7 linked regions of the Ovis aries genome follow. The protein of the gene in region 6 interacts with the protein of the main gene of each other region in a pairwise test. Links are inferred from orthologs where the notes say so. Each region holds a gene or a part of one and is shown on either strand. Other genes may lie near its edges.

Region 1 (3,500 bases), on a different chromosome or scaffold from region 6:
TAGCAACTTAAAAAATGCTTCATTCACATCAAAAAAAATCTTAAAAAAGAAATGAAAGCCATCATCCTGTAGATAAGGAAACTGGGACTCAGGTTAAGAGACTTGCTCAAGATCCCCCAGCTAGGGATTTCCCAGGTGGTTCAGCGGTTAGGACTCCTGTGCTTCCACTACAGTTTGACCCCTGGTTCGGAAACTAAGATCCCACAAGTGGGGTGGCACAGCCCAAGGGAAAAAAAAAAAAAGATCCTGCAGTGGGTAAGTGGCGGACCAGGCCCTTGAGGTCACACCCGTCACGCTGTTAAGCCTAAGAACTCAGCTCTAAGGCATCTGCCCTGTTGCTGCCTCCGGGCAGGAGGCTGTGTTGTGAAAGTGGAGTTACAGTTAGAGGTGGGCGGGGTGGATGGGGCAGGGGAGGCTGGCAGGAGAGGCCCAGGAGGATACAGCAGGGGAGGGTGTTGTGAGTGGATCTGGGGCGGGAGACAGCAGGAGGCATATTGAAGAAATGCTGTGAGCCTTCCTGCTGGGGAGATGCGAAAGTGGCGAATCAAAGATGACCCCTAGGCTTCTAGTCTTTGTCATAGTGGTCTTTGGACACTGATGGGTATTAACTGACACAGGAGGGGAGGGGAGGGGAGTTCTGTAGTCAACAGCTCACGAAATGCTGGTTAATCAAATGAAGCAGGTTTCTCTGTTTTTTTTTTTTTTTTGGTCATACCACTTAGCATGTGGGATCGTAGTTCCCCAACCAAGAATTGAACCTGAGCCTCCTGCCTTGGAAGCAAGGAGTCTTAACCACTGGGCCACCAGGAAAGTCCCTCTGCTCTAGGTCTTCTCACGGCCTGTAGTGCTGGGGGCATCTTTACAAGTGGGAGAGCAGGCAGCAAGCCTCGGAAGTAGCTGTATTGACCGGGGAAGAAGGGTGGTTCCTCGAAGGCCAGAGCTGTGTCTTGTTCATCTCTGCCTCCGGCTTGGTTTAGAAAAAGGCCTTTAGGAAATGTGAGACACTCAGGCGATGTTTGAATGAGTGACTGAAAGAATAAACGAAAGCCAGTTTGGGGGGAAGGTGGAGGATAAATTCCAGACAGCACTTGTGTTCAAAACGGTGTTAGGCTCAGTTGTACTTCTGTTCCACAAGGCAGGTGGCAGGGGGGCAGGGAGGGGGGTCTGTCCATGTCGAGGTGGATTTGGGAATTCCTTATGGAGATCCTCATGGCCAGGAATGCAATTGATTCTTGATTGTAGAGTCCAGACCTGTGGTTTAGCCCAGGCTGCTCATTAGAATTATTTGGGAAGCTTAAGAAATATTCATGCTTGGGTCCCTTTAGAAATTCTTTGTTTTTTGGCCACGCCATGTGAGATCTTAGTTCCCTGACCAGGTATTGAACCTGTGCCCCCTGCACTGGGAGCGCAGAGTCTCAACCACTGGACCGCCAGGGAAGTCAACATTCTTGAAATAACATGATAATAATGGAGAACAGATTAAGCAGTTGCCAGGGGCTGGCTAGGGATTTAGGGGGGAGTGTGGTTATAGAAGGGTGGCACAGGGAGCCCTGCCGAGATGGGAATGCTCTGCCTCGGTTGCAGTGGTTCCATAAACCCACATGTGGGGTGAAACGGCGGAGAACTGCGCGCACGGACGCACGTGGAAGGACTGAGCTGCAGCTCTCTGGACTGCACCAGTGCTGTTTTTTGCTGTTGCACTAAGCTGTGGTACAAAACATCTCAGAGTAAAAGATGCTACCGTTGGTGAAAACCAGCTGAAGGGTACACGGGACCTCACGACATGGTTTTGTTTTGTTTTTTTTTTTTCAACTTCCTGTGAATCTATAATTATCTCAGTTTAAAACATGACAAATTATGGGCAGTGCTATCAAGGAAACCCAGAAGGGGCTGTGATGGAGATTGAGAGGAGAACCATTGAATGGGGCAGCAAAGAGACCTCCGGAGAGAAGTGATTACCCAGAGGTGATCTTTAAGGCGAGAGTGAAAGGATGAGGGGCCCGAGGGGGAACACTCGGCCGTGCTGGCTTTCCCCAAAGGAGACTCCACAAGGAGGAGTCTCCTGGCCAGAGATGTCAGAGCGTCTCTGGACAGAACAATGCTTGGAAGGAATGTCTTGCTGTTCCTCCTCCCCTCCTCTCCTCCCACCCGTCCAGTCCCTTCCGTTGATGCTCTTCCCTCCTCTTCTGCCATCAGCCTGGACAAACTGCTAGATGCTGGTCTCTACACTGGAGAAGTGACTGAAATTGTAGGCGCCCCGGGTAGCGGCAAAACCCAGGTACAGCTGCAGCCAGCAGCCAGGAGGGTTGAGGGAGGTGGATGCACAGTCCTGGATCTCTGGGGAAGCTTCTGCCAGGATGCTGTGATTTCAGAGCTTGGAAGAGAGAAGACGGGTGGTGAGGAGTGGGACTTGAACTCGCGTCTCAGGGCCCATTCGCGCCTCTGGGATCTGGATGAGATTTGGTGGGGGGCTCCTGTTCTGGGCCCTTCTTGAGGGCTCAGGTTCACCCAATGGCCCGTCTCTACTCAGGTATGTCTTTGTGTGGCAGCAAACGTGGCCCATGGCCTGCAGCAGAACGTCCTCTACATTGATTCCAACGGAGGGCTCACAGCCTCCCGCATCCTCCAGCTGCTTCAGGCCAGGACCCTGGACGAGGAGGAGCAGGTAAAGGGCAGGAAGGTTGGGTTTCTTGGAGGTTCTGACACCATAAGACCCCATTATCTAACACGGCAAGAATTTGGACCATTTGGGTGACTAGTCATTTCTGGCTTTGAAACTTGCTGTTCCACTAATGCTTCCTGTATTGTAAAGCCTCCCCTTTATGACATCATCCCAGTTGGATGCTACCCACAAGGATCCTTCCTAGAAACCCAACCCCTGGCATCCCCTCTGTGTTTCTCCCCCATATCTTGCCCAGGGCAGACACACAGATCACTGCCACTCCTTCCCATGGAGCTCTGACTTGGCTCTGCAGCTCAGCACCCAGGCAGCCAGCATATTGTGAACTGGCCCAGCAGACAAAGCCCACTGCCATCTGTACCTGAGTCCTTGTGTCTAAGCGCCTCTTCTCTCTCAACCTCAAAATCCCTCTTCATCGTGCGTGACCCCCGGCTCTTCTTCTCCAAGGCCCTCCCTTCTCTCTCCTGCCCCCTCAGGCAGGAGCTCTCCAGAGGATCCAGGTGGTACGTGCATTTGACATCTTCCAGATGCTGGGCGCGCTGCAGGACCTGCGAGGCGCTGTGTCCCAGCAGGTGAGCCTGACCTTCTGCCTTCCCTGCTCCCCGCAGCCCACCTATGCTGTCTGCGTGTGGGCAGGTGTGCAATCCGGTGACTCTAGCTGTGCCTGCCATTCCCAGGATGGGATTTCTGGATACTTAGTTCTCTCTTTCCTCAATTCTTTGCCTCCTCGTTCACAAGCCCATCTTCCCCACTAAAGACTAAGCCTCTTCCTTGAGTGCAAGGATCAGGTCCTGTTCATCTCTGCATTCCAACTAGGTCC
Region 2 (4,075 bases), on a different chromosome or scaffold from region 6:
CAAAGATCTGTATAGCCAAAGCTATGGTTTTTCCAGTAGTCACATATTCATGTGAGAGTTGGACCATAAAGAAGGCTGAGTGTGCAAGAATTGATGCTTTTGAACTATGGTGCTGGAGAAGACTCTTGAGAGTCCCTTGGACAGCAAGGAGATCAAACCAGTCCGTCCCAAAGGAAACCAACCCTGAATATTCATTGGCAGGACTGATGCTGAAGCTGAAGCTCCAGTACTTTGGACACCTGAATGTTAAGAGCCAACTCATTGGAAATGACCCTGATGCTCGGAAAGATTGAGGGCAGGAGGAGGAGGGGGACAGAGGAGGAGATGACTGGATGGCATCACTGACTGGACGGACATGAGTTTGAGCAAACTCTGGGAGATGGTGAAGAATAGGAAATCCTGGCAGGCTGCAGTTCATGGGGTCGCAGAGCCCTGACGTGGTTGAGCTACTTGAACACCAACGCTTGACTACATTTCCAAGACCAAAAAGACATGTATGTACTGGCCGCCTCCCTTATCTTTTTGGAATAGTTCCACAGAGGTGAAATGTTATTTCCCCAGCTATAGTCCCAAGTAAGCTGCCAGAATAAAACTGAAACTCACTTTACTTACATTGTACTTTTTTTCAGTTGACAAGCACAGCAAGACACTTTATAGGTAGGGAAGAAAAGAGAGTTGTTAGTTCAACGACAGTCCTTTTTGAGTCAATAATTTCTATAGGTCACACATAGGCGTCGAGCCAAGCTCCATCTGGAGGGAACCGCGGCATCCAATGCTGCGCAGGGCAGAACAAAACCTAAGGCTGGGGCTTCTAAATCTGTAGCCCTGCTCCTGTGGAAGGAGGTCTAAATGTGGACTAAAGCGTGAGCCGCTGTCCGCAGGTGCGCTTCCCCGGGGAGTCCGTCTAGAGAAGTCACTCCCAAAAGGACATTTCCATAAAAGCGACTGCCCTGAGGCCTCGTACACCGCCACGTTCTTACGGCTAGAAAATCCAACAGGATTAGATCCAAAACGTCCATCTCAGACACGGGGGCAAATAAAAAATACTCTAGCCTTGATCCATCCGGGGATGCTTGCTCTGTACGAGCCGTCACAACAAAGTCGTCTTTGATTTGCGCACCCGGTCGCGGAGCACTGTGGGGCTGGTAGTCCAGGCTGGGGCGCGGCTTCCGGTCACTGAAGACCTAGAACTACATTTCCCAGAAAGTACCGCGCCTCAGCGGAAGCGGACCTTGTACGTGGGCTTCAAGACTTCCGGCGGAGCCGGGGGGCGGGACCCGTGGCGGAGGCTGGAGCGAGGCGGAGGGATGCAGCGCCCCGGGCCCTTCAGCACCCTCTACGGGCGGGTCCTGGCCCCGCTGCCCGGGCGGGCCGGGGGCGCGGCCTCTGGCGGAGGCGGGAACAGCTGGAGCGTTCCGGGTTCCCACGTGCAGTTGTCGGGACGCTCGCAGTTCGGCGCTGGCAGCACCAGTACCGGCGGCAGGGAGACTAACACCGTCTGTCCGGGCCCGTCCGCGATGTCAAAGGCCGAGGAGGCCAAGAAGCTGGCTGGCCGCGCGGCCGTGGAGAACCACGTGAAGGTGAGCAATTCAGGGCTTGGGCGCCCGTGCTGGGCGGTATGGGCTCTTGCTGTGGGTTCTGAGCGCTGCCAGGTGCGCCAAGTTCCTGGCAGAGCGGGGGCTGCGTGAGAGGGGAGAGAGTACGCACTTGACCTGCCTTGAGACCTGCTCCTTCAAGGCCTTTGAAATATGGAATTGGTTGGGGCCGAGTACCCTAAAGTTCAGCTGTCTAACGACTGCTTGTCAGGCCAGATAACAGTTTGCCAAGTGGAGCGTGGTGGTGTGTCTGATGTTCGGAGTGGGGTTAGGAGGGACTTAGCGCCTGGCTTCCTTATCAACAGATAAAAGACTGGGACTGCCGAGAAGTGTTCACCTCGCTTCACTGCCCAGGGAAGTCGGTGGGGAGCTGATTTGAAAAGTGTTTTGAAATTTAACTCCAGGGAAGTGCTTAGCTGGGCGCGCACCGGCTCTTGAATGTACTTGCCGGAGGAAAGCGGAGAAGGAGCCAAAGACTTTAAACCTCCTCCTTTTGGCAGGGCTCGGGTGGACACTTGAAGTCTGGAGATCCTCTTTAAGGTCGGGATGTGGAGATGTTTAGCTGTTATTGTGAGGTCGTAATGTAATGTCAGTGAGGTCGTGACCCCACTTGTTGGCTAAGTGGCGGGTGTGGTCCTCTTGGTGGAGTCTTTTGGATTTGCTGTCAACAATCATGTTAATTGTAAGAATTTTGGGAGCTGGGAGCCAAGTGGAGTATCTCTGCCCTTAGGTGGAGTTTCCTGGGTTTCATTGGCTTTTAGTGTTTTCTGCTTTCTGGAAAGTGGTATCAGATTCTCTTTTCTCAAATAATGGTTCTTTATTCTTTACATTTGGTAATGCTTTCGTGTACGAAGTTATTTTGCTGGATAGATGTTAGATCCTCCTACAGCCTGGCCAAGTGGGAGGGCCGCGTGGTAACCTGTGGCTCAGCGTGTTCTGTAGGAGGAATGACCAAGTATCCTCCCAGACCCAAACCCAGTGACTCCTGTTCCAGTGCCCTTCCCCCAGTTACATAGCTGCCCTGTTCTGGTGTAATAGTCTGGTTAGCAATAGGAATTTCTATGGGACACAGAGATAATGTGGAATGTGTCATCTGGCTCTCCTTTTGGGATTTAGTGTCTCAGCTGCAACATTGGGACAATCGGCTGAAATTTTAAATGCCTCTAGAAAGTGAATGGTAATGGGCAAATGAAATCTATACAAATAGAAAAGACCTGTATGTTAGATTTCCTATTATCCTATTACTATTATGTCTTCCTGACCATTGTGGTTTTTTTTTTAAATTACGTATTTGGTTAAATAAAAATTTGCAAGCCCCCACCTCAGGCCAGAGCCCCCAGCCACCTGTTGCCTGAAGTTGCCAGACCATCCTGGGGAGATCTCCATTGACCTTTTGGCATTCACCCCAGTCTCAGTTAACACTATTTGCCTTTGCAGACTTCTTTCCTGAGATGTCAACACTATTTGAATGTTTTTTTAAAATAATCTTATTTATTTATTATTTATTTTTGGCTGTGCAGGGTCACTGCTCCAGCTGCTTTTCTAGTTGGTGGTGAGCCGGGGCTGCTCTCTAGTTGCAGTGTGCAGACTTCTCATTGCAGTGGGTTCTCTTGTTGCAGAGCATGGACTCTAGGGCACAGTTTTCAGTAGTTGCAGTTCCTAGGCTTTAGAGCACAGGCTCAATAGCTGGGACGGACAGGCTTAGTTGCTCTCCTGGGATCTTCCTGGACCAGAGATGGAGCCTGTGTCCCCTGCATTGGCAGGTGGATTCTTTATTAGTGAGCCGCCAGCGAAGTCCTGTATTTTGTACTTCTTACCACTGATTCATTCATTTCATTCCTGTGCGGGAACTTGTTGAGTGCCTGCTATGTGTCAGGTAGTTGGTGTGGAGGCCAGAGATGTGGCTAAAGGGAGGAGAAGATGCTGATCCTGGATATTTTGCAAACAAGATCACTGAATTCCAAGACAAGGTTATTGATCACAGTCCTGTACCTGATTGTCAAGGTTTAGCAGCCCTCTCCAGGGTTATCCTTTTTCTCCATCTAAGGCCAAATTTTCCTTTAGCACTTTGTGTCTTGAAATTGTTCCCTTGCTACCCAACTCAGATTTGACTGCTCACCCCTTGAAAGACAAGTTTGCTTTCAAAAGAAAACTTGGGAAAGAAAAAATTGCTTTGTTCTGGAGGCTGGCAACCTGGCGAGAAGGCCGACTTCTAGAACCTACTTTACTAAGGTGAAAGGGGACGTTAATTGCAGTTAATCATTTAGGAAGGGGGTCAGAGTCTTATCTTCCACTGTGTGTAGACCTTCTGATTGGCTGATGGTGAGGTAACTGTGTGGTGGTTAGCAGCTTTCTACTTGATTGGGGCCTTAGTTCCTGTGGAAGAACTCAGAGACTGTTGTCATGTATATTCCTTGAGGAGGAACCAGGCCCTTGCCTCATGGCTTTGTTTCTTGACTGCTCCTCCCTTGCTTCTGCAT
Region 3 (4,280 bases), on a different chromosome or scaffold from region 6:
TAGAAGGTTCTTGGGGGCCCTAGCCAAGCATTCGTATTATTGCGCTGCTGCTGCTGCTGCTAAGTCGCTTCAATCGTGCCCGACTCTGTGCGACCCCATAGACAGCAGCCCACCAGGCTCCTCTGTCCCTGGGATTCTCCAGGCAAGAACACTGGAGTGGGTTGCCATGTCCTTCTCCAATGCATGAAAGTAAAGAGTGAAAGTGGTCGCTCAGTCGTGTCTGACTCTTAGCAACCCCATGGACTGCAGCCTATCAGGTTCCTCCACCCATGGGATTTTCCAGGCAAGAGTACCAGAGTGGGTAGCCATTGCCTTCTCTGTGCTAATATCATCCAAAAAATGCAACTCAAAAGGCTTTGCTTTTCTGTGGGTGTGTGGCTGAGGGGAGGTCACTTTGAGGAAGTGGTTGGGTTTTCAAAATAACCAGATATGGGGAAGTTTGGAGCTTGAGAAATCCCCCCAAATTCCCACCATCTTTGCCCTGCTTGCCATTCACCCTTGATGATCCCATGGTCCTGTGGTCATGTAAGAAGTGTCCTTTGCTATGCCCAGGTGTGTTCGAGGTCTCTGAATACAGGGCCAGGCGTTCCCAGCCAGAGAAGATGTCAGCAGCAGGTATGCAGATACATAAATTTAAAGGCCAGGCTGCTGCAAAGGACCTCGTTGTCTGCACACGGCCTGGACCAGATGCTCTGTCCAGGAGGCCTAGGGGGAGAGGAAAAAGGTGGCTCACCCAGGCTCATTTACAGAGGCCCTGCATCATCACATCCAGGAGCCCAGCACACCACTGGGACACTTGACTCACTGCCCTGGTGGTGCATAACCTGTCAATTCAGCAAGACTTGGGTAACCTACCATGCCTGGACTTGGGGTTGCGGGAGAGCAGTTCCCTCTTGGGCCCTTCCTCCCTCCTCTCTAGGTCCTTCAATGAGGAAGCACAATGTTGGCAGGTCACCCTTGAGGGGCCCCGCTTGAGACCTTGCCTAGAGTCCCTCAGGTCCAGGGGGTGTGCAAGGAGCCGCCGGGCTGCTTGGGGTGGGCCAGGCCCACGATGGCAGGACCAGGCCGCTGCCTCCACCTGTGTCCTGTGCTGGCAGCCAAGGGGCGCAGTTCTATGCCAAAGTACTTTCCTTCTAAGCAGTGGTTAAGGAGTCCGCGGCAGGCAGTGTCACCACTAGCTGGGCAGTCAGCCCACCGGGAGGGATGCGAGAGGGGCGGGGCCCGGGTCGGCGAACCTGCTTAGGACACAGCGAGGTGAGTAGATACCTAGCGTAGCCCTGAGGCCCCCGCTCCTCCCCAGAGGGCAACTCCTAGCCCGCGCGCACTCTGCGCACAGTGCCTCCAACCCAGGCCTCGGTCCCGCCCTCTGTCCGGGCCTAGCTTCAGAGCCGGCCTCCCCACCTGCGAGGGGCGGGACGAGCGTGCAGCGCATGCGTATGGCGCCGGGCGCGCATGCGCGGGGCGCGGAGCGCGCCTGCGCACTGGCGGCGCGGCGGTATTGCTGCTCGGCGGGCCGGGTGGCCGTGGGGCCGGAGGCGGCCATGGGGCAGGGGGCGGCCGCGGTTCCAGGGGCCGGCTAGTGACGGCGAGCGGCGGCGGGGCGCCGGGACGCGCGGGTGCGGCCTGGCGAGGAGACGGCCCCGCAGGCGCCCGGGGCAGCGAACGGTGAGTGCGCATCCCCTCGGCCCGGCCTTCTGCCCGGGGTCGTGGGGTCGGGGTCGTGGGGTCAGGGTCTTGGGGGCGGGGCGGGAACGACCCTGCCCACTGACTGGCCACACACCCTGCCCCGGGCGCCGAGGCAGGTGTCCGGGTGGCCGGACCTCGACCCCCGCGACCGCACTGTGAACGAGGTGGCGGGCCCGGCCCTCACGCGGGGCGGTCAGTTAGGGGTCCACGTCGCGCTATTCATCCTCGGAAAGCTCCTCTGTGCTCGGAACCCAGCGCCCAGCCGACGACCCCTGAGGCCGGCGGCTGGCCCGTCTGAGCCGGGTCCGAGCCCCCTGTCTCTCTGCCTCTGCGTCCGCCGCGCTCTGGTTCTCGTGGAGCCTCCTCACCCGCCGGGGACCGGGCCTGAGCCCAGGCGTACGCATTTCCTGCTGGACGGCGCCCTGGACTCTGGCCGTGACCTTTGCCCCGTTGCGGGAACTTGAGGACGAGGACAGGGACCCGCAGGTGCGGCCGACGGGCTACGGCCCTGGGGCTCGGGTGCCCAGGTGTCCTGGGCCTGGCATTCAGGTGGGCGTGGGATGGGCCCGAGTCGGCCCCGGGGGTGGACGGGGCACCCCGAGCCAGGCTGGAAGGGAGGCCGGGTTCACCCGCAGGATGACTGGAGGGGTCGGTTCTCTGCGGGGGCTGCGGGCCACCCCCCAGGCTCTGACCGACAGTGCAAGGGGCCCAGTCCTGCGGGCAGGGCTGCCGGCTCGTCGTTTGCGATGTCTCCGACCCGCTGTCTCGGCCCAGAGTTCAGTGCGTGGGGCCGGGCAAATGCGTGTGTAGACTGTTGGCGAAAAGAGGAACCGGCTGAAGGTGGCCCGGAGGCGGGCTGTTGTGCAGAGAGCTAGGTGTGCAAATACCTGCTTCAGCCCAAACGCGTGCGAGATCTCCCAGGGGTCGGGTCTGCCACGCTGAAGCCCCCCTCGCGTCTCTGATCCTGTTCTTCCGCCCAGCAGCCTCTGCCCCTCTGTGGGCCCAGTTCTGTCAGGTCCTGGCCAGCACTGAGCATCACCTACTGGCGGGAGAGGGGAGATTTAATAGGTACCTTTTATCGCGTCAGTGTTAAGGAGGGGTAAACTTTGCTTTTTCGTTCAGTATTTCAGCAGGTGTATGTTGAGAGCTCGCACTGGGCATCATGTTATGTTTATATTTATGTGTGACTTTTGCTTATGGGCATCACGGTGTGTCTCCTTTCCTTCTTGGTCATTATGCTCCAACACTTTTCTGTTAAAACTTCCCAGTGCGGATGTCTTTTGAAAATGAACTGAAATAATTCTAGACTCCCAGAAAGTTGTGAAAAACAATACAGAGGAACACCTGCACTTATCCCCACATCCGTGGCACAGTGACGTGAACCCTGGCACCTCCATCACACCCCTTGCTGGGTTCACCACTTTTCCCACCACTGGGCACAGCTGTGTGGCTTGCCACCACAGCCTCAGATCTGGTGTCACCTAGGGAGCCCACCCCAGGCTCCCCACACTCCCTGGCCACCAGTGATCTGTTCTCCATGCGCTTGTGTTTTGTCATGTCAAGAAAGGCGTGTAAGGGACTTCCCTGGTGGTCCAGTGCTTTTGACTCTGAGCTTCCACTTCACGGGGCCCTGGTGGAGAACTAAGATCTCACATGCTACGTGGTATGCCCCCCAAAAGAAAGAAAGAATGAATGAAAAGCAAGTTATATAAATGGGAGCATTTATCATGTGACCTTCCTTGCCCTGCAGTCAGCCTGGAGTCACCCAGCTGGTTTCGGAGTCCATGTCCACTCCCTCTGGTGGCCGGGCCTGCTCACCAGTGGGGACGCTTGGACTGTCTTTGGTGTTTGGCTGCTGCAAATTAAAAGCTGCTGTGAATGTTGAGGTGCAGGTTTTTCTGTGAGCATCAGTGTTTCTCTGGGGTAAATGGCCAGGTGCACTTGCTAGGCTGTCTGTTTCGTTTTTAGTTTTTATAAGACGGCGTCAGCCCTTTCCAGAGTGTCTGGCCATGTTCTGGTCCTGGGTGGTGTGTGAGCAGGCATTGCTCTGCGACCTCCAGCGCTGAGTTGTCTGGCTGTTCCGGTCAGTGTGCAGTGGCATCTCACTGTGGTTTTAGTTCCTTCTGGCCCATCGGCATGGAGCATCTTTACACCTGCTTCTTTACCATGGGCACATCTCGTCTGTCCAGTCAGCTCTTGTCCACTTTCTAATTGGACTGTCTGTTTTTTACTGTTGAATTTTGATAGTTTTTGCTATTTTATAGGTACAGATCTGTTGGATATCTAGTTTGAAAATATTTTCTGTCTATAGCTTGATTTGTGGGTTTTTTTTTTTCGGCTTTCTTTACAGAGTCTTCCACAGAGCAAGTTTCTAAGAAGCACAGTTTACCAATTTTTTTTATCTTTTATGAAGTGTGCTTTTTATATCATGTACAAAAAAGATTCTGTCTAACTTTAGGTCCCGAAAACTTTCTCCTGCATTTTATTTACTTGTGTATTTATTCATGGCCGTGCCATGTGGCTTGCTGGACCTTAGTTCCCTGACCAGAGATCAAGCCTATGCCCTCAGCAGTGAAAGCTTGCAGCCCTAACCA
Region 4 (3,500 bases), on a different chromosome or scaffold from region 6:
GCGGGAGACGCAGTTGGCAGCCTCTTGAACTTTGCATGCACTTTCATCCCAACATGCTATCTTTCTCTTTGGCTGCTGAGAGGCCTCTGATTCTTCTTCCAGGCTGTGGGCAGAACCCTGTTCGACAGGCCAGTGTGGGTGCAGGAATCCCCTACTCTGTTCCTGCGTGGAGCTGCCAAATGATCTGCGGGTCAGGCCTGAAAGCCGTGTGCCTCGCAGCCCAGTCGATAAGGATAGGAGACTCGAGCATTGTTGTTGCAGGAGGCATGGAAAATATGAGCAAGGTAAGGCCTCTGAAGAGATGGCGCTCCCTGACCACTCCTGTCCATTGCCACAGCAGGGTTGACTGATGGTCAACCTGAGAGCTGGAACCAAACAGGGAACAAGGAAAATTTGGATCGAACCTTGATCCCTGCATGCATGTTAATTATTCACAGTGATTGGGAAGTTCAAGTTAAAGACAAAGCCGGTCAACCAGTGTGATGTCCTTAGTTTTACATTTCTTTCTCATTGTGAGGAAAAGTCAAAAACCAGATGTTGCACTCACCTTCCTGCACGGGACAAAGGGTATTCCTGGGGACCACAGCCTGTCGACCTTTTGTAGGTACACAGTGTGGAAGAGAGGACCCACTGAGCGGTGCCCATCTCCAGTGGGCTTGCCAGGTGGGATTGGCTTCGTCAAGTTCCGTCCCTCCCGCTGACACAGTAGGGAAAAAGGAAAACGTGTAACCCCTGCTTCCTGCAGCAATTCAAGGTCTCCCCTGGGGAACCCCTGGGCAGAGGCCGGTTCAGCCCTCCTTGCTCAGGCTTGGGAGGAGACAGGGCGAGAGTAGCAAGCACAGAGATTCCAGTGGGGCCGTAGCACCACCTGTGTGGTGCTTGATGGGGTGCTTTCACACAGGCAGTCATAACAGCCCTGGGTTTGGGTTTTATTCCCAATTTACAGGTAGGGAAACCGAGGCCCAGAGCCAGGATTCAAAATAGAGATCTTTAGGCTCTTCAGTCTTTCCTTTCTAGCTGCTGTTGAGTTGGGAGGAGTTGAGAGGGGGCTTCCCTGATAGCTCAGTTGGCAAAGAATCCCCCTGCAGTGCAAGAGACCCCGGTTTGATTCCTAGGTTGGGAAGATTCCCTGGAGAAGGGATAGGCTACCCACTCCAGTATTCTAGCCTAGAGAATTCCATGGACTGTATAGTCCATGAGGTTGCAAAGAGTCAGACACGACTGAGCGACTTTCACTTTCAAGAGGAAATCCCTCCACTGAGAAATCTCTTCCCATCGGTTAATCAGGCAACCTGATTATTCTCACTCTAGGCATTGTACGTCCCATTAAAATAAGGAACACATTGTTAGCATCACTTAGGCCCATTGATGAGCCCTTTGTGTAACAGATTGCTGGTTGCTTTGGAAAGAATAAATGAGCTTTTTAAAGAAATAGGACAAAATTCACAGGATTATTTGATGGAAAGCTGCAAATGCATAGGGAAGAGTTACAGGTGGGTTTCCAAGGGCAGGTAGGGTGCAGTAGCCTATTAATTCCAGGGGTCTTCAGGCCCTGGGCCCTGGTGATGAGGAAGATGAGCTGGGATGGAGGAGAAGGGTCACAAGGGGGACTCAGTGAAGACTGAGGAACCACTGGATGGTTTTGAGTGGGAGCCTAAGCAGAGGACTAGTTACAACCACGCCTGGTCCATCTGTATTTCTTGTTTCCAGGCTCCTCATTTGGTTCACTTGAGGACGGGAGTCAAGGTTGGGGAAAAGCCCCTGGCTGACAGTATACTCTGCGACGGGCTCACTGACGCATTCCACAATTACCACATGGGCATTACAGGTGAGGCGGACATGGCTGAGAACATACCGACTGTGAAAAGGTTAGAAGGTCTGTAACAGCTGGTTTTGCAGGTGCTTTTCCTCTTTAAGGGTAGGGACCGAGTCCTCATCACTTTGTATCCGTGATGACGGGGATAGTTCCCATTTGATGAAGCCAAGTTGAGGAAATATTCCCTTTCTCCTTTGTGACTCCTTGATTGTCAGGGAAGTTGGTGGTGGGAGGAACCTCAGAGTTCCTCTGGGTCAATCTCTCATTTCATCATATGAAGAAACAGGGCTCACAAATAGTGGCTTTTGTGGCAAAGGCAAGATCAGAGATAAGCTAGTACTTCTGGTATCAAACTCTATTCGTTACACTACACAATCAGGTTTTCATCCACCCACAAGGCTTGCAGTATTTCAACTGCCTTTTCATTATTGTATTCATTATGGTGATCTGAATAACCATTTGACCTAGAATAAGCCAAAACAATTTCGACAAAGCAAGAAACAGAGGGAGCTTTGATCTTTGGTATTACCACTGTAGCTTGCTCCGAGGCTCAGATGATGGTTAGCATGTTTTTCGCAATAAGGTATTTTTAAATTAAGGTATGTACATTGTTTTTTTAGATATAGTGCTACTGCACACTTAATACACTGCACATACTTTACAGTGTACAAATATGGTGGATATCACTTTAATTAAGTGAGCAAAGTTGACATAACCTGAGATAAACTCCAACATGTATCCTGATAAGATTCAGTGAAAAATTATCATCATCAACATCCGATGCTTTCCCACATTATATTCTAATGCATTAGAAGGATTGGTGACATCTGACAAAGGAACTGGCCCCTACCCTTCAAAAATACCAAGGTTAAGAAACATGGACCTAGGCTAAGGACTAGTTGCAAATAAAAACTGAAGAGATTGACAGTGAAATGCAGTGTGTGGTCATGGATTGGATGATACTGAAGAAACAAATTAGCTATAAAGGGCATCCCTGGGACAACAGGTGGACCTTGACTGTTGACTGAGCGTGGAGATAACAGTATTTTATCAGTGTTGCATTTCCTGATTTTGGTAGCTGTGGTTATGTAAGAAGCTGGCCTTTCTTGTGGGAAATATACACTGACATTAAAATTTAGAGATAAAGGGGCATGATACCTACAACTTTCCAAAAATGGTTCAGAAACCGAATGAGAAAGCAGATGGGGCCAAAAAATAGGAACAATTGGTGAAGCAGCGGAAAGGAAATTTCTGAGAGGTATTTTGTAGAAGGGAAAAGAGAAGGAAGGCAGCAAAGAAAGAAAACGGCTCCTTAAGAATCCTTGCAACCTTTCCACACCCGGTGGGAGGCAGGAGTGCCACAGACGACTGTCTCAGCCCGCCAGCGGGCCCGCCGGTGTTGGCCATCAGCGCTTGAGCCACCTCCAGAAGCCATCTGAAAATGTTTGGGTTTTGTTTTTTTTCTTTCACAGCTGAAAATGTGGCCAAACAATGGCAAGTGAGTCGAGAAGACCAGGACAAGGTTGCAGTTCTGTCCCAAAACAGGACAGAGAATGCACAGAAGGCGGGTCATTTTGACAAAGAGATCGTACCAGTTTTTGTATCTTCTAAAAAAGGTGGGTGTGTCAGTTGTAAAGGTTTAAAGGTCAACAGGGCTGTCTATAAGGCAGTCATTACTAGTCTA
Region 5 (2,310 bases), on a different chromosome or scaffold from region 6:
GGAAGCTTTGGGCCCAGCCACGGGGCTGTGCGAGCTTAGCTCTGGCTTGTATGGCTGCTGTCCGGCTGCCGTCCAGCTCCCGGGGCGAGGAGCTTCGCTGGCCTCCTCTCCCCCTCCCAGGCCTGCCTCCCCTTGTCCCTAAAATGCAGTCTGAGCTGACCACCTGCTGTCCAGAACCCTCCGTGGCTCCCCAGTACCCTCCGTGGCTCCCCAGTACCCTCTGGATCATGGCCGAGGCTGGGTTGCTCGTCCCCTTGATCTGAGCCTTTTCCATGCAACGCCCCTGCCAGGCCTCCACCCAGATTCACCCCTTCTGGGGACCCTGCCCCCAGGGCTGGCCTGCCCAGTGAGTCAATCCCTACCTGAAGTCAGGGCCCCTGGACCGCCGGCCCAAAGGCTCAGAGGCCAAGTGGCCGCTGGCCAGGCACATGGAGGATGCCTGCAGATGACTGGGCCCTCATGCAGCCCGGATGACCCTGGGGTGCGAAGCCCCGCCTGGAGCGCGGGGGCGCCAGGCCCTGCCCCACCTCCTTCCCAAGACTGAAGGCCAGGGACACCCGGCAGGGCCCAGGTGTCGCTGCGGCGGCCCTGGGCCGGCCTGGGGGGCAGAGCTGAGGCCCCACCCCTCTGGAGCAGGCTGCTGGGGGCTGGGGCTCAGCTGGAGACCCTCATCCTGCTCGGGACGCCACCAGGGCTGGGGACCCATCACCACACTCCCAGGGCAAGGGTGGGCTTCACCTGACATCCTGTCCCGGAAGATGTCCCCAGGGGGGTTGGAGTGCCCGGCAGGCACCTGGACTCTGGTCGGGGCAGGCCACACTGCGACCCCTCCCTGGGAGCGCAGAGCGCCAACCCTGGCCCAGGACTCGGCCCTCCCCTCGCTCCTGAGCCGCTGTCAGAGCCCTCTGTGCTCACCCCCACCCCCAGCCCCCGGTGCCTAATCCCACAGGAAGCAGGGGCATCTGTGAGCAGCAGCTGCCACTGGAGCCGGCCATGGGGGTGGGGGGGGGGGGTGCGGCAGGGCCGCAGGGAATTGCAGTGGGGGCTGGGGGCCGCAGGGGTCCGGGGGGGCACAGTGGGGCCAGGGGCTTCAGGCTCCGGCCAAGCTTCCCGCAACCCCGAGCTGCAGAACACAGCGATCTCGCCCTGCTCGCACAGCCCTGGGGAGGAAGCACTCGCCGCCCCCCAGCGGCCCGTCCCAGCCCGCCTCCAGGGCTGTCCGACTGCCGGCCACCCTCCCAGCCCCACTCACTTGTACGAGGTCACCCGGCGCAGGTCAGAGGGTGCCAGGCGGTAGCCGCACTCCTCCCAGGCCTCCTTGCAAGCCACCTCCTCCAGCGAGAGCCCGGGCTGGTCCAAGAGGCCGGCACACAGCTCATAGGTGACCCCCGCCGAGCCAGGCAGCGCCACCTGCAGTGCCTGGGGCCTGTCCTGCTCCGCAGCGGCCAGGGACCCCGGGAAGAGACGCTCCACCTCGCCAGCGTACACGGCTGGCGGGGGGAGGCAACCGCGTCACAGCCTGTGGCGGCCGGCTCCACGTGACCTGCTCTGGCCAGACCCCCTTGCCAGGGCTGTTTCTCCCGGAGCCCCCTCCCAGGTCTGCACACTGATGCCAGGACCCCAGGGGACTGAACGTGAGCCCGCCAGCCTCCCCGCCCCCAGCCTCACCTGGCCGGAACTGCTTCACCAACACCAGGCTCCTCCGGGAAGAGTTGAACATGAGGATGGTCACGCTGGGGGTGGGGGGTACTGAGCTCAGCACAGAAGCACGCCCTCACCTCACCACCCTCCTCCACAGCCCTGGAGGCTTGGGTCCCTTGCTCAGATGGGCAGACTGAGGCCCAGGCCAGGACAGAGCTCGCCGGGGTCACACTGCCAGGTAAGGACCCAGGCCTCCTGTATGTGCCGGGTGGCAGGAGCGGGAAGGACACACTGGGCAGCTGGACAGGCTGGGGTTAGCAATAGCTGAGGGCACAGGAATGACAGGACACGTGGGCCCTGCAGGCCAGCTAAAGCCACACTGCCCCCAGCCCATGCTCCTGGCGCTCCAGGGCAAGGGCACCTGGGCAGTCCACACGGGGCCCCTCGGTGAGAGGCAGGGAGAGCAGGGGCGCTCAGAAACGCAGAGGGGGCTGTGGCTCTGTTGCCCCTGGGCCCCATGTCCCTGCCAGCCTGGGGCTTCCCTGGTGCCAGCCAGGCCAGGCCCTCACCTATCGTGAGTCTTCATGAAGTCCCACGATTTCTGGGTGCCATTCTGGAAGAGAGAGGGCAGCGGTTGGGGAGTGCCCCGGGGAGCGAGGAGGCCCCGGG
Region 6 (3,500 bases):
ACATTATCCCAAATGCCATTGGGTGACTCGGAACATTTACATTTCAAATAGAGAAGTAAAAAATGGAAAGAGGAATAGGGTGGAGACCACTGGAGAAATGTTAAGCATACAAAGTGAACTGCACCCAGAATTTTTCATGTGACTCATTTATTCCTGATACAGTGAGTCAGCATTTCATGAAACGCTTGTCACTCATGAAGATCAGGACCTTTTTCTAAGTTAAGAGTAACCACATTTAAATTAAATGGCCTCAGTTTAATTTATTCAGGTAATCACAGAAATCCACAAAGAAAAATAATGAACTTCATAGATACTGTGCTCTAAAAACTCACCAATATCTGGGTTTTCTCCAGCTGACAACTTTATTCTTACTTTAGCGTTCTAAATAATGTGCAGTTATGCCCTTTAATTTTATTACATAAAATATACACATTGCATAATACACATTGTATTAATAGAATACCTTCTAAAACAAGAGAATCGTGATTTTGATTCAACAGCACAAGACTGAAAACATCAAAGCCATATGCAACATTATCTTGAAAGCATTAAGAGTGAGTCAAGGAATATATATCAGTGAATATATATCAATATATATTTTTCTAAAAAGTTATTCTCTTTCCTGCTTGGGCAGTGACCAAGCAGATTAAGTCAGCATGTGCACTGCAAATCAATGTAACACCTGATCAAACCTCAAGGAGGTCTATGGTTCAAAACATAGCTGATAGTTCTATCTAAAGAAATAAAAATTTTTTAAATTTGACAAAAATAATCACGTCACAGAACAAAATGTAAGCGTGCTTCTGAAATAAGAACTTTTATTAGCTTTTGCATTTTCATAAAGGAGCTCTGAAAGAAAAAGTGGTGGAGGTGAGTACTGGGCAGGGCAGGGATAGGTGAGAAACTATGCTTTCCATCTTTTGAACTCGGTGAATATATTATGTATTCAGTAAACCAAATGGGCTATAGTCAAACTTCTGTAAATTTGATGGTTTTCATAATACAGAACTAATGCTTGCAGAATCAATTTTTAATGCTTCATTATGAAGCAAGATAAACCTAGGATCTTTGCGCATTTATTACCTCATGATTTCCTATGGTTTTAAATAACCCATGTCTCTTGTAATGGTTTTATTATATACAGTAATGCCATGTGAGTGTATCCCTAGCACTGAGCATAGCATTTAACACATTGATGACAATAAGTATACATCTGTTGAATAAATGGATGGATAAACTGCAAGTTGGCACACCTTGTTTTTGATAGTAATAGAATAATAATTAAATTGGAAATTAATAATTATAGCAAGGTATATGCTGCAATTAGTACTTCTAACATCGGGGGTGTGTTTATATAAACCTTAGAACTTTGAAGTGCCCTGTAGAGACTGGTTGTGTAGGTAAGCATTAGTTCTCCCCTACAGAGGTAACCATACTGTCAATCGTCCTTTAGCTTTTCAATTGCCTAAAAACTTCTCTATTTCACAAATCTTGGTTTCCCTTCTTTTGGTATTTCTTTGAATCATTAAGTGCCTGCTTTAAAAAAGCCATATTACTTCCTAAGCCAAAAAAACACTTGAGTAGGGTCATGAAAAACTAAATCATCAAATGTCTACATGTTTTAAATATACCACTGTGTGTATGGGGGGGGGGCACATTTCAGAAGGCAGATAGAACTATAAATTAAAATGAAAATAATTACAAGTTCCCACTAGGCCAGTCTGTTATGTATGTTTTCCAGAAACTGGACACATGACAGAAGGTTGCAGCAAAAATTTGATCAGATTACCCTATTTCCATGATTCATGATGGTTAGGTGGAAGGGATTATAAAGCCACAGTGCTGGTGGAAGCCACATTCTTAGTGGTTTAATGAACCAGAATATAATATGGTCTAGTTAACTCACACTAAAACTTTAAATAAATAATTGAGCTAATAAGCCAGTTTTCCATTAACAGATACCATTGGTTTAGTTTAAACACTAATGGTATTTATTATCAAAAAGACACCAGGTAGTCATTATCCATAAAAGGTTTTAGCAGGAGGTACTTGGTTTTTCTAGATTGCTTATTGTAAACAAACCTAAAATTTATGGATTTATGGCTGGCTGGCTGGCTGGCTGGAGGAAGGCGAGGTGCAGGCTATGTAGTTAACAGTATACAAAACAGATATTCCAAAATAAAAAATCTGCATACATTGCTCAAAAACTCCAACTTGTGAGTGATTCCAAACTGAAATACAGCCCGATATAGAATGTAGGCATTCCTAATATCTGTTGCAAGAAGAATGGGCTACCTATAAGAGTTTAGTGACAAGTGATTAATGAAACCAGGTCTCAGGAGAAATGACAGCTAGAAACTCATTGCCATCACGGTAGGATGCCAAGCCAAGGCATAGGACTAAGCAAGGTTTGTGTTACTTAGATACCCATCCAAATGGGGAGGGTACAGTACTTCCTCAAATAAAAGCCACACGCAAAAGTACACATTGGCCTGAGTCACCTCACTTAAAGATGCTACAAATTGCTGACCTGAAGGAGGCATTCTGCTTCATCCACAGTGTTTTAAAGTTTTTCTGGAATTGAAAACCATAAGGGCATACACTCTAATTTGTCCCAATCCCCACTACTCCCTAATGTTACCTGAACTTGAATGTTTTTATTATCTTCCTGGGTATTCTTGCAAAAAATAAACACACTAAAAATAGAAGGGGGAAACAACCCTGGTGGTCCAGTAGTTAACGCTCATGCTCCAAACCGCAGAGGGCGTGGGTTTGATCCCTGGTTGGGAAACTAAAATCCTGCCTGACTTGTGGTGCAGCAAAAAAAAAAAAAAGATAGCAGAGAATCATTCATTTTCAGGCAGGTTGGGTACTTCAAAAGCCAGAAACCAAGCCACCTTCCTCATTTCAACATAAATGGGAACCATCCTTAAACAAAACGCCTGTTTTAAAAATAAGACATCCATTTGGCTTAGACTAGAAATTAGGTCCCCATATGAGGTCTGGTTTTCACGATCCAGTTTCAAAACACTCCTGTACCTTTCCCTCTCCTCCTTGGACAGGAGACACCTGTTATCTCACCAGGTCGCGAAGATGGGATTTGGGGCTTTTGTTTTTTACAAGACAAGTCAAACAGTGTTTAAGTGATGAAGTCCAGAGATGACACTTAGAAATGTTCAAGTGTGTAGGATTCCCAAGAAAGAGCTCCCTGCAGGACCAGTGGACATATCCCGGCTGGGCCTCACCTTGGGAGTGTTGCTCCTGGCCCCTGGCCCTGGGGACTGGCTGCCGTTGCTGTTCCAGCTGGCTTCCTGAAAGATGTCAGGACTCTGCCGCCGAACCTGGCGGGACACGACGAGGTGAACACGCCTCTCACTGGCCTGCGTGATGAGACACAGGCGTTAGCCACTTGGAGCTTCCATCCTAAACATCCAGCACCGATGACTTACCGAGATGTGAGTCTGGTTTTACTTTTCTTTTTAACTTTTTGTGTTGGGGTA
Region 7 (3,025 bases), on a different chromosome or scaffold from region 6:
TTTTCACATGTCCAAAGAAGTGCCTTTTACCATGCCATGTTGTGTTGTTCTAGTTCAATATATACTAAAGGTTTCCCAATTTATGTTGCAAGATAATAAAACTCTTATATTAAATCTATTAGATTAAATCTAATATGTAACCAAAATCACTAAGTTTAGATTCTGAAATGTATATCTTCTTTAAAAGAAAACATTAAGGAAAGAAAGAAAGGAAGAGAGAGAAAGAGGAAAAAATAGAAAAAGAAAAGAGAAAAGATTAAACTCTTGTTTACTATATAGAACAGAAACACAAAGATGATATTATAATTTTCCCTGTGGGCCCACCCTGGTCATCCACAGCTTAGAATGTTACTGCTCTTTTTCAACCTAAAAAAGAAAAAAAAGAGAGAAAGGTAAAATTTTAAGTTAGCAATATATACCAGGAACTCCAGGATGGTATACACTTCTCCAGTCCCACCCTGGCCCTCCACTGTTAGAATGCTGACACACCTTTTTGAATTTCACTTAGCCTGGGAGGAGGTGCTGGCTCTGGCTCTAGAGCGGGCACTGGCCAGGGCAGCAGTACGAGCCCTGGCTGCAGCTCTGGCTCGGGCTCTCTCTTCCTCATCTCTCAAAGCCTCTTGATACCAGGATGGGAAGGCAGTGGGGACGGTATCGTGAACCTTGGCTAAAAACTCCAGGACTTTCATTTTGCTGGTTTCAGCATGGGCTCTTGGGCCCCACAGGAACTCATAGCGTGGAGGCTCACTGTTGGCCACCTGGCGGTACTCCAGGTACTTGAGCTGCACCAGATCTTCTGTGAGGACCTTCTTGGGATCCCCATAAATGAAGTGCTTCCTTTCAGCATATACACCCATCATATTCAGCACTTCCCAGATCGCCTCTTCAGGGGCGCAGTTGCCTCTCATGAAGATCACACCAAGCACAATCATCAGGATGCCGGTCTTTGGCATGTGCTCATATTCATTCAGAGCTGAATCATAGGAGAGGTCTAGTTTGTTGACAAGGGTGTAGCAGTGCCTGGTAGGATCCACTTCCTTCAAATCAACACCAAAAGCCAGCTCCATATGATCAGAAGCTCTCTTGAGGATCTCATTGTAATGACTCTTGTACTGTTTGATAACAAACTTCATCATCTCTGCCTTTCTAATTGGCTCTTTCTTTTGATACTTCTGCAGCAGGAACTGCACCAACAGAACCACTTTCTTATTTAAAATCTCACTGAGTGAGCTCTCAGCGCCCTTGGGGAAGCTTGTGCTTTCCGCCTTTGGGCTATTGATATTTTCAGCTGAGTTGGTGCCTGAACTAGCTGCAGTAGCACCAGTGGCTCCCTCAGGTGCCTCAGGAGTGCTGGGTGTCCCAGCAGCAGGCAGATTCTCAGGTCTGTCCCCAAAAACCGAAGAAGGGGACTTTCCTGCTGCTGCTGCCCCAGAGGCCTTAGCAACCTCTAGGCCCTGGGTCTCAGTACGGGCCTGGCGGCGTTTCTCACGGGCACGGAGCTTACTCTTCTGACCCCGAGGCATGATGACTGGTCAGGGACCGCAGACAGTTGCTCAAGCTGCCAAGGTTGATGAAGAGCTCACCCTAGAAGACAGAGGAAAAGAAGGCGTGTATAGCCTCCATAGGGAGATTCTTCTATCTTGGCTCCAAGAACAACTGCTTTTGTTGATCCCCTTAAGGGTACCGTTTTAAAAACCCACAAGACAGAGGCCAACGGAACTCTGTGGGCCGCCTCTGTTCATCAGGGGCTTGTCACCTTAATTCTAACCCAGAACACTGAACTTGACTCCTGACCAGTCCTTTTACGACTCCTTCTGCTGACTTGAGGCTTCCCCTTCAGACCAAGGCTTCCCATCCCACAAATTCTTCTGGTGGAAGTAGCGGGGTGTTGGGCCTAACGGTCACTTTGAGCCACTCGGGGGTTGACGGTCGGGATGGCGCAAGTTAAGATAGGGAGGGGCTCTACGGGACCACCCGAGTTCTGGGAGGAGTGTGTCCCTTTACTTCTAACAAAGATTGTCTACCTGGACACTTGTCCAATCCTGGAACTCGTCCCTCTGTAGATATACGAGGCCACACCTCTCCAACTGAAGCCTCGAGCTCCGCGGCTGCCGTGGCGGAAGGCAGGGAGAGCACTTCCGGTATCGCCCAACTAGGTTTGCCAGCATTGAGGGCGGGGGGGAATCGGTTCTGGAAGGGCCTCCCTGTCTGTCCTGGCAGGCGGAGAAATCGTGCAGAACTCACATGAGGGAGTCTTACCTGACTCCTGACAGGGCCTGGGACTTCTTCCTCTGCTGAGCTAAGTCAGCTGGCCACAGACCAGGGTTCTCATTTCCCTCGGAACCCCCAGCAGGAAGTAAGGGGTAGCCTGAGCCTAGCAACCATGTCTAGGGCCTACCAAGACTGATAGTGGGCGGGGGGGGGGGGGGGAACGGCTCTTTGTGGACTCTTATTTTGGAGTGGGCTCTCCCCTCAGTCCTCACTCAGTTTCTTACCTTGATGCTTTGTAAGTGAGCTACTAATCTGATAGGGTGCCAGACCAATCAAGCAAGGCATAAATCTATAAATAATTTAAGGGGAATTGACTACTGTACAATACTCTACTCATCATGAATAAACAGAAGATATGTTGCTCTATGTAAGATTTCTTTTACCTAAGTCTGTCAGTAATTTTTTTTACATTTACTTCCATAAACATCATGTGCATTGTTGTTCGTTTTCTTTTGACGTATCTTTTGGATAGCACTGCTGTTTTGAATGATGTATTTACCATTATATATCCTAGTTACTTATTTTGTGATAAGAGTCCTCCTATTGGGACTTACCTGGGGGTCCAGTGGATAAGACTCCAAGCTCCTAATGCAGGGGCATGGATTCAGTCCCTGTAGGGGGTCTAAGATCCACATGCTACGGGGTACAGCCTTTAAAAAAAAATCTTCCTGTTGATATAGTGATCTTCTGCACCAGCTTTTGAAGTTTCTTATAAATTTGAATAGTTGGCAGCCAGTTTCCTTGGGGTTTTTAA

What was found.
Region 1: the proteins of LNX1 (region 6) and RAD51D interact in binary tests that used the Homo sapiens proteins (3 or more experiments, as listed by UniProt). The two-hybrid records come from large-scale screens. The link is inferred for Ovis aries from reciprocal best matches to the Homo sapiens genes LNX1 and RAD51D.
Region 2: the proteins of LNX1 (region 6) and RPIA interact in binary tests that used the Homo sapiens proteins (3 or more experiments, as listed by UniProt). The link is inferred for Ovis aries from reciprocal best matches to the Homo sapiens genes LNX1 and RPIA.
Region 3: the proteins of LNX1 (region 6) and NADK interact in binary tests that used the Homo sapiens proteins (3 or more experiments, as listed by UniProt). The link is inferred for Ovis aries from reciprocal best matches to the Homo sapiens genes LNX1 and NADK.
Region 4: the proteins of LNX1 (region 6) and ACAT2 interact in binary tests that used the Homo sapiens proteins (3 or more experiments, as listed by UniProt). The two-hybrid records come from large-scale screens. The link is inferred for Ovis aries from reciprocal best matches to the Homo sapiens genes LNX1 and ACAT2.
Region 5: the proteins of LNX1 (region 6) and NUDT14 interact in binary tests that used the Homo sapiens proteins (3 or more experiments, as listed by UniProt). The two-hybrid records come from large-scale screens. The link is inferred for Ovis aries from reciprocal best matches to the Homo sapiens genes LNX1 and NUDT14.
Region 7: the proteins of LNX1 (region 6) and melanoma-associated antigen B18 interact in binary tests that used the Homo sapiens proteins (3 or more experiments, as listed by UniProt). The link is inferred for Ovis aries from reciprocal best matches to the Homo sapiens genes LNX1 and MAGEB18.

The regions. Positions count from the first base shown.
Region 1 is NC_056064.1:14,699,884-14,703,383, forward strand, and holds part of RAD51D (DNA repair protein RAD51 homolog 4), read left to right. Parts: intron 1-2,196; coding exon 2,197-2,278; intron 2,279-2,530; coding exon 2,531-2,665; intron 2,666-3,156; coding exon 3,157-3,252; intron 3,253-3,500. UniProt on the Homo sapiens protein: Involved in the homologous recombination repair (HRR) pathway of double-stranded DNA breaks arising during DNA replication or induced by DNA-damaging agents. Bind to single-stranded DNA (ssDNA) and has DNA-dependent ATPase activity.
Region 2 is NC_056056.1:59,367,177-59,371,251, forward strand, and holds the start of RPIA (ribose-5-phosphate isomerase), read left to right. Parts: upstream 1-1,275; 5' UTR 1,276-1,307; coding exon 1,308-1,580; intron 1,581-4,075. UniProt on the Homo sapiens protein: Catalyzes the reversible conversion of ribose-5-phosphate to ribulose 5-phosphate and participates in the first step of the non-oxidative branch of the pentose phosphate pathway.
Region 3 is NC_056065.1:50,237,701-50,241,980, forward strand, and holds the start of NADK (NAD kinase), read left to right. Parts: upstream 1-1,480; 5' UTR 1,481-1,665; intron 1,666-1,766; exon of another isoform or gene 1,767-2,235; intron 2,236-4,280.
Region 4 is NC_056061.1:83,780,247-83,783,746, forward strand, and holds part of ACAT2 (acetyl-CoA acetyltransferase, cytosolic), read left to right. Parts: intron 1-102; coding exon 103-284; intron 285-1,710; coding exon 1,711-1,828; intron 1,829-3,288; coding exon 3,289-3,432; intron 3,433-3,500. UniProt on the Homo sapiens protein: Involved in the biosynthetic pathway of cholesterol.
Region 5 is NC_056071.1:67,272,519-67,274,828, forward strand, and holds part of NUDT14 (uridine diphosphate glucose pyrophosphatase NUDT14), read right to left. Parts: intron 2,255-2,310; coding exon 2,211-2,254; intron 1,734-2,210; coding exon 1,669-1,733; intron 1,491-1,668; coding exon 1,253-1,490; intron 1-1,252. UniProt on the Homo sapiens protein: Hydrolyzes UDP-glucose to glucose 1-phosphate and UMP and ADP-ribose to ribose 5-phosphate and AMP. The physiological substrate is probably UDP-glucose. Poor activity on other substrates such as ADP-glucose, CDP-glucose, GDP-glucose and GDP-mannose.
Region 6 is NC_056059.1:69,695,614-69,699,113, forward strand, and holds part of LNX1 (E3 ubiquitin-protein ligase LNX), read right to left. Parts: intron 3,381-3,500; coding exon 3,246-3,380; intron 1-3,245.
Region 7 is NC_056080.1:24,366,237-24,369,261, reverse strand, and holds melanoma-associated antigen B18, read right to left. Parts: upstream 1,571-3,025; 5' UTR 1,524-1,570; coding exon 501-1,523; downstream 1-500. UniProt on the Homo sapiens protein: May enhance ubiquitin ligase activity of RING-type zinc finger-containing E3 ubiquitin-protein ligases. Proposed to act through recruitment and/or stabilization of the Ubl-conjugating enzyme (E2) at the E3:substrate complex.